2 linked regions of the Arabidopsis thaliana genome follow. The protein of the gene in region 1 interacts with the protein of each later gene in a pairwise test. Each region holds a gene or a part of one and is shown in the gene's direction. Other genes may lie near its edges.

Region 1 (5,009 bases):
CAATTGTAGTGCTTTCCTAGCTTTCGCTGCTAACGCTGATGAATCAAGAGGCAAGTTTGCACTACTTTTCCCAGCTGTGGACAATGGTCTTCCATCTGTACTAGATTTTCCAGGAACCTCATGAGATCTGACAACACTAGCCTTATTTTCATCCGTTGTAGATATCGAAGATACCTTAGTGAGCAGTGTTTGACTAGGGGCAGCAGAAGCTTCCGATGGAATAGAACTATATGTAGAGGCTCCCTGCACAAAAAAAGAAAATGCAAGCATTAGCTAGCGAAGAAGACTAGAGGTAATCATGAACAAATCGCAAGTAGCAAACAAAGAAGATTAACGAAAAGGTATAAAGAACTCACCATCGTAACGCCACTGGTTGGATTCGTAGCCCCAGAACCCTCAGAGACTTGAGCATCTTTGTTCTCAACTTCAATAGCCACATCCTCAAACCTGCTCCTCCTCTCACCATTCCCATCAGCAAACCTAGATTTCTTCTTCCCATCCCTAGCCCCATTCTCTTCCTCTCTATCTTTCCTCTTGCTCCTCGATTCCTTCTCTTTACTACCTTCGTGAGACCTCTCATGGTGATGCTTTTCCCTATCTCTACTCCCTTCTCTCTCGCCTCGCTCTACAGATCTCCCTCTTCTATCCTTGGTCCTATCTCTCTCATCTTCCCTATCGCCGCGCCTCGATGAACGGTAGTGATCTGAATCACGACGCTTCGAATCAACATCGCGGTCACGGCGGCGTCCTCCTTCACGTTGTGGAGAATGGTCGGGACTCGAATCTCGATCACGATCGTCACGGTGGCTCCTGGAATATCTCTCCTTATCCATGGCAGAATTTAGGGTTTATTCCTAACAACAATTTGCTTCTGATTCGCCGGTCCTATAAATATACGAAAATTCACAACCGGAATAAACCAGCGATTCAGATTAGAACCAAAACGACCAGCGAAACCAAGTTCTGAATCAGATTTTTGTTCCTTCCGGAAAAATCCTAAAGGGAGCGAAACGATACCGGATCCGGAAGATATATAATCCAATCACCGGACTACAAGCTTCCCTTATGGGCTGAAGCCCATTTTTGAGTTCCTTCTTGAGATAGTTCTTCAATTTTGAGTCTAATGGGCTTTTATATCATCTTTTACTTAAAAAAAAAAAAATCGACGATTCATCTTCTATAGAGATATATGAAAATTCAAGCTATTTATCTTTAAAAAGAAAAATATTTGATGTCAGGTCGCAGTTTTCTTACAAGCAGAAATCCAAACTCTTCATACCAACTATTTTTGGAATAAACAAGATTTCTTTGCCAAGAGTTTTCATACCAACTATTTTTTGGATAAATAAGATTTCTTTGCCAAGAGATTTCCACAAGTTGACCACAAATTAAACATTCGATCAAAACTCAAGAATTCAAATATAGAAGTATATAACGCATATATTCCGCTTTGACTCAAAAAAGAAAAAACCCGCTCATATACTGTATTATGTATAGTCTGAATCACAAACTCTCTAACACGTGAAATTTAATGCGTTAGTCAAGAATCGTTCCGATTGTTACCACTCCCCAGGAACTTTTTCAAGATATTTATACCTCAGAATGATAGCACTTTACAAATAAGTTATACTTTTTTTCAAAACAAAAAAAAACAACTTATTGAAGTCTATGGACAAAAAGAAAATATCTAACATGAATCCTAAAATATCTTTACGATTTTAATTTTATCACATCTTTTGTCAAGAACTCGTGTGTAGCAGTTTATTATGCACATAAATATATGCTATACATTACGCTGCAATGTTCGTAAATACTAGTTCCAGAAAAAGACGATTCCAGCCGTTATTACACTGATCAAAAAGTTATTGCTATATACGGAAAGAATTAATCCCATAAAAATCATGTGCTTTGAACTAACTTTCCCTTTATACGTTAAAATAGATATTTAGGTGAAAAAGCAGATTAGATATTTTCTCTTAGATTCTCTGTCACAGTCAACGTAAGCTTCGCCGTCTGAACAATGGCGACTCTCTCAGCACGCTTTTACACCGTCAGATCTCAACATATCTCAATCTGAACAATCCATCATACACAAGTTCCATACATCGCAACACAGAAAAACAAATCCCTAACCCCAAACTGTTTACAATAATTAGCTTCGTTGTCTTCTTCATTCCAAAAGATTTGCAGATAATTTTGACAAAGCCCCCCAAAAAAAAAAAGAGTTCAAAATGAAAAACGTGAGAAATGGATTTGTCATCATTCTTCTCACCGTCCTTAGTCTCTGAAAATAAATTCTGATTTTGATTTCGAATTTTAGGGATTTTGAGAGAGAGTCAGTTATGAGTAGTTCGGAGAGAGTACCGTGCGATTTCTGCGGCGAGCGTACGGCGGTTTTGTTTTGTAGAGCCGATACGGCGAAGCTGTGTTTGCCTTGTGATCAGCAAGTTCACACGGCGAATCTGTTGTCGAGGAAGCACGTGCGATCTCAGATCTGCGATAATTGCGGTAACGAGCCAGTCTCTGTTCGGTGTTTCACCGATAATCTGATTTTGTGTCAGGAGTGTGATTGGGATGTTCACGGAAGTTGTTCAGTTTCCGATGCTCATGTTCGATCCGCCGTGGAAGGTTTTTCCGGTTGTCCATCGGCGTTGGAGCTTGCTGCTTTATGGGGACTTGATTTGGAGCAAGGGAGGAAAGATGAAGAGAATCAAGTTCCGATGATGGCGATGATGATGGATAATTTCGGGATGCAGTTGGATTCTTGGGTTTTGGGATCTAATGAATTGATTGTTCCCAGCGATACGACGTTTAAGAAGCGTGGATCTTGTGGATCTAGTTGTGGGAGGTATAAGCAGGTATTGTGTAAGCAGCTTGAGGAGTTGCTTAAGAGTGGTGTTGTCGGTGGTGATGGCGATGATGGTGATCGTGACCGTGATTGTGACCGTGAGGGTGCTTGTGATGGAGATGGAGATGGAGAAGCAGGAGAGGGGCTTATGGTTCCGGAGATGTCAGAGAGATTGAAATGGTCAAGAGATGTTGAGGAGATCAATGGTGGCGGAGGAGGAGGAGTTAACCAGCAGTGGAATGCTACTACTACTAATCCTAGTGGTGGCCAGAGTTCTCAGGTTTTGCTTATCTCTCTTTTGATTTTTTTGGCTAAGAACAGTTTAGTTTTTTCTGTTAATGAGCAAGTGAGATTAAGTGGTGAAATGTTTTTGTGTAAGGTCAAATATAGTCACTCTGTGTGGTTTTATGGTTTCTCAAGAAGATAAAAAAATGAAAGGTTTCTTAACCTGTGTTGTGAACTTGTATACAGATATGGGATTTTAACTTGGGACAGTCACGGGGACCTGAGGATACGAGTCGAGTGGAAGCTGCATATGTAGGGAAAGGTGCTGCTTCTTCATTCACAATCAACAATTTTGTTGACCATATGAATGAAACTTGTTCCACTAATGTGAAAGGTGTCAAAGAGATTAAAAAGGTAATAGTTCTCATTAACCTTAGTCATTTAAGTAGAGTAGTGTTTAAAACACAATACGTTGTCATCTCCCGTTCATCCTCAAAAATTGTTGTAGACAGTTGCTTCTTTTAGTGAATGATAGAATTCAGAACATGAAACCTAGTCAGAAAAAAGTTACAAGCTGGTTTGCTTTTCTTTGTTTTACCTCATCACCAAGCCACCAATTCTAACATTTTGGCTTATGATATATATTTGCTAGACTGCTATGCAACTTAACTGTGATGCTGATTAGGATTCTTTTGCAGGATGACTACAAGCGATCAACTTCAGGCCAGGTACAACCAACAAAATCTGAGAGCAACAATCGTCCAATTACCTTTGGCTCTGAGAAAGGTTCGAACTCCTCCAGTGACTTGCATTTCACAGAGCATATTGCTGGAACTAGTTGTAAGACCACAAGACTAGTTGCAACTAAGGCTGATCTGGAGCGGCTGGCTCAGAACAGAGGAGATGCAATGCAGCGTTACAAGGAAAAGAGGAAGACACGGAGGTAAATGCTGCTTTTTTCTTTCCCCTTTAATAATTTTTTATTGCCCATCTCCCTTAAAGAATCTGATACCATATTTCGTTTCTCCCTTTGTCTTGGATCTCGGGTGCCAACAGATATGATAAGACCATAAGGTATGAATCGAGGAAGGCAAGAGCTGACACTAGGTTGCGTGTCAGAGGCAGATTTGTGAAAGCTAGTGAAGCTCCTTACCCTTAACCTTAAGTCTCTTCACATAGGCTTCCTTTTAGCTACAAACTTAGTTACTTTTTTTACTTCCACTGCCTCATAAATGTACAGACCGGTCTCGTTTCATCTGGCCGCCCTTCTGTTTTATTGCCTTATCTGGCCCTTTTATGTACCTTGGAATCTTATCTAGTTTAAAAAAGATTGTAACCTTCTAGAAAACCATATTCTGTTGACAGTATATACATGTCTATCCAAGCATTTTGAAGTCTCACAAGCTAATACGCCTTGATACTCTTTGTTTTAAAAACCCTGACTTATGGCTGTTAATCAAAGTTTTCCAAGTCCAGTTCGCAGATGGCGAGCGGATCTGCGGCTGTGGTTCTTCGTTGCTGTTTCTTTGGTGGTTCTGGCTGTGTTGGCCAATTCAGAAGGTATAAATCTCCCTACTTAAAGAGTTACTCACAGGCGAAATTCCACAATCAGTTTATTCTAGTGTATAATACATGTAGTGGATGTTGTATAATGTTTATGCTTGAATGTCATATAGCTCTGCAGACGTGGGATCCGATGCAGGTGACAATTCTTCTTAAAAGACAACTAATTCTCTGACTTTCCTCTTAGTGACTATAAGAATAGACCAATTCTCTATTAAATTTTTCGTTTAACAATTCCCTCAATCAAGAATTCTCTTCTCTGTATTTCTCCTCTCCATCTTTATCTTACCTCTCCGAAACGCCTTGAACCCTCAAAAATGTCCTTCATCCTACTCGGATTCATATCTTAATAAATGTGAACCACTTGGAATCC
Region 2 (3,362 bases), on another chromosome or scaffold:
AAAGAAACTTGCAAAAGAAAACATAAATGGAAAAGAACTAACAAAAAATAAGGAGTAATTCGTAAGATAGATGTGTATTGATTCGAGGCTTCTTCTAAGTTGTTCTAAAGTTGTCATCCACAAACATTTAAAAGTAAAAAAACAAAAAACCATAAAACTCAAAACACCTCCACTCATCAGCGCTTTTTTAATGCATGTGGCTCTCAAATGAAGACATCTCGTGTTCCTTTGATTCTTCACAATTCACACTTCACCCTTTACACCACTAATCTTCGCCACGTAAAAATTTCTCAAGCATGTTACGTAGGCCCAACTTTACCATTTTTTTTGTTCTTATATATATTTTACGTATTATTTGTTATCCTAAAATGACTTTCAATCCATCTTTGCTAGTCTTAATCTCGATTTCGTGATACAAATTAATTCCTTTGATCAAATGAATACAAATAATCAAATTAATTCATCTTTGATCATAGATGAATTAGTTTGTTCTATGGATCAAAACCACAGATCAAACTCTATCATACAAAAATCGTTGTGATTTTCTTTTAAAAACTCACAACTGTAAACATTTGAAATGACAAAAAATATTTGTCTAACTACAAGCTTCTTAGCTATCTATCTATCCTGTTTTTTAGATAAAAATTCGTAATACCTTTCATTTTTTTAATCCAGGTTTAATAATTTTTCAAATATATATTCTATATTCTTTTTAATTACCATTAGCAAATAACAAGTAATATATCGAATTGCCAATGATGTGAAGTAAAAATGTAAAATTAGTGGTTGGATTTATTTATTTATTTTTATTTAGAGAAAAAGACATTTAACTCGAATTATGTAAAATATGGAACGCTAAAAGTGGTTGATAAAATCATAAAATTAGGTTCTTCTCCTAGTAACCATGTTGATTCATGGACACCAAAATTTCCGAACCCAAAATGCGATATTAAAAATCCGATCATCATTATTATCCTACCGTAATACCAACGATATAAATGATATTTAATTCACTTTTCATTTTCGAAAACAAAACGCTTGGACCGGAACGAGAGAGGAATACTGAAAAAAGTAAAAAATGAAAGAAAAAAGAGTGGACCCATTAGACGTGTATTGAGGACCAGACAAATCCCAGGTGCGGATCACGTGGTTCTAAGTCTATTACAGAACCTGATTCGTCCACGTAGGATAACTCAGAATCTTCCCTCTCCTCTATACGAGGCTAATATCTCGCCACGTCATTAACTAAAAATCTAACCGCATAAAAATATCTGATGAAACATAAAACGAATAATATCTCGACACGTAAGACTTCGCCCATAGGAGAGCCTTGTCCCAGTACATGGTTTCAGGACCAAGTAAATAACAACATTTCCTTTAATTTTTATTATTATTATCATCTCTCCTAAATTTAAGAATTCGAGAATAATACTCAGCCGCGGAAACCTTAATCAATTTCAAACACAGATTTAGAACTACTAATACAAAATTATCCACAAATTATCCACCATAAAAATTAAAGTTTGAACGAATCCTTTAATCTTATTCTAATTTAAAATTAGGAAGCTTCTTTGCATTTCATTAAAAAATTACGTGAAAAATCGTTTCGTTAATATCAAAAAGACGACAATATCCTCGAAAAGAATTAAATCACATAAAAGTCGCCACGAAATTCTCATTTTACAATTCTCTATTACGCTGTCTCTTATTCGTGTCCGCAGAAGAAACGAGAGAAGAGAGAGAAGCAAAAGACCTTACCAAGAATATTTATAACACACAAACATCTAGAGACAGAGATAGACATAGAGAGAGAGCTTGTGGTTGTGGTTGTGCGAGATAATATCTAGAGATGGGGAAGAAGAAGTGCGAGTTATGTTGTGGTGTAGCGAGAATGTATTGTGAGTCAGATCAAGCGAGTTTATGTTGGGATTGTGACGGTAAAGTTCACGGAGCTAATTTTCTGGTGGCGAAACACATGCGTTGTCTTCTATGTAGCGCGTGTCAGTCACACACGCCTTGGAAAGCTTCTGGGCTGAATCTTGGCCCAACTGTTTCTATCTGTGAGTCTTGTTTAGCTCGTAAGAAGAATAACAACAGCTCCCTCGCCGGGAGGGATCAGAATCTTAACCAAGAAGAAGAGATCATTGGTTGTAACGACGGAGCTGAGTCTTATGATGAGGAAAGCGATGAGGATGAAGAAGAAGAAGAAGTGGAGAATCAGGTTGTTCCGGCTGCGGTGGAGCAAGAACTTCCGGTGGTGAGTTCGTCGTCTTCGGTTAGTAGTGGTGAAGGAGATCAGGTGGTGAAAAGGACGAGACTTGATTTGGATCTTAACCTCTCCGATGTATGAATATGAATCTTTTTCTTTATCTTCTTTTATTATTAGGAAATGATTAAGAAATCTGAAACAATTCTTTTTGAAATGCAGGAGGAGAACCAATCTAGACCATTGAAAAGATTATCGAGAGACGAAGGTTTGTCAAGATCAACTGTTGTGATGAATAGCTCAATCGTGAAATTACACGGAGGGAGGAGAAAAGCAGAGGGATGTGATACATCATCGTCGTCTTCGTTTTATTGAAATCGCCAAGGAAAGTAGAGATTGTAGCCGTTGATGATTCTTTTGTTTGGTTGATTAGATTAATCCTCATCGTTCATTTACTAACAACAATACTTTTAGTGAGTTGAGTTAGTTTAAAAACATTTCAATATAATGATTTTTTTTTGTGTTTTTTTTTCTGTGTTACCTAGAATATATATGTTCATATGTCTAGTATAAAATCATATAACATAAAAAATAAAATGAAGCAAAGTTGTTCAGAAAATGATTAAGAAAATGAAGCTGTTTTCTATTTATTTATTTTTTAACGAAAATGATTAAGAAAATTAATTAGTGAAACAAGAGATATTATTATAAATTTATAACGTGAGAAGGATTACCAGCCAAAACCAAAATTTATTATGATGTCAATTTTATTTGCCTTCCCAGAACTAGAAGTGTCTGTGTCATTGTGATGTTACAACTGAAGAGTACATAACGTATGAATGTCCGTTAGCTTTGTAAATTGTAACTACGACCACTAAAAAGAATCAAACAAAAAAGTTGTCAAGACTTAGAAAAAAGAAGATATTTAGTACCATGGGGTCCTCCTTTAAAGTTTTTTTAAAAAAAATTTATTTGTCAAACGCTTTGAACCCATCGTGTCTTTTGTATCTAAACCGTGTTCGAAGCTCCAAAAAAATAAAAAATGATGCTCTCATGATTTATATGTAACTAAATAAATTGGTTTTATTTCTAATTTTGAATCTATTTGTTTTGTGAGAAATGAGAAGATCCAAGTTTTTGGTTTCTTGATCGTATA

Evidence for each region. Proteins that work in one complex are often made in the same cells at the same time.
Region 2: the proteins of BBX13 (region 1) and BBX29 interact in a two-hybrid assay, tested with the Arabidopsis thaliana proteins (one large-scale study listed by BioGRID).

Annotation. Positions count from the first base shown.
Region 1 is NC_003070.9:9,774,991-9,779,999, reverse strand, and holds BBX13 (B-box type zinc finger protein with CCT domain-containing protein), read left to right. Parts: upstream 1-1,956; 5' UTR 1,957-2,342; coding exon 2,343-3,128; intron 3,129-3,319; coding exon 3,320-3,487; intron 3,488-3,771; coding exon 3,772-4,016; intron 4,017-4,129; coding exon 4,130-4,232; 3' UTR 4,233-4,478; downstream 4,479-5,009. Other genes in the region: AT1G28060 (Pre-mRNA-splicing factor 3), read right to left, coding at 1-243, 357-833.
Region 2 is NC_003076.8:22,113,803-22,117,164, reverse strand, and holds BBX29 (B-box type zinc finger family protein), read left to right. Parts: upstream 1-1,625; 5' UTR 1,626-1,849; coding exon 1,850-2,344; intron 2,345-2,428; coding exon 2,429-2,581; 3' UTR 2,582-2,861; downstream 2,862-3,362.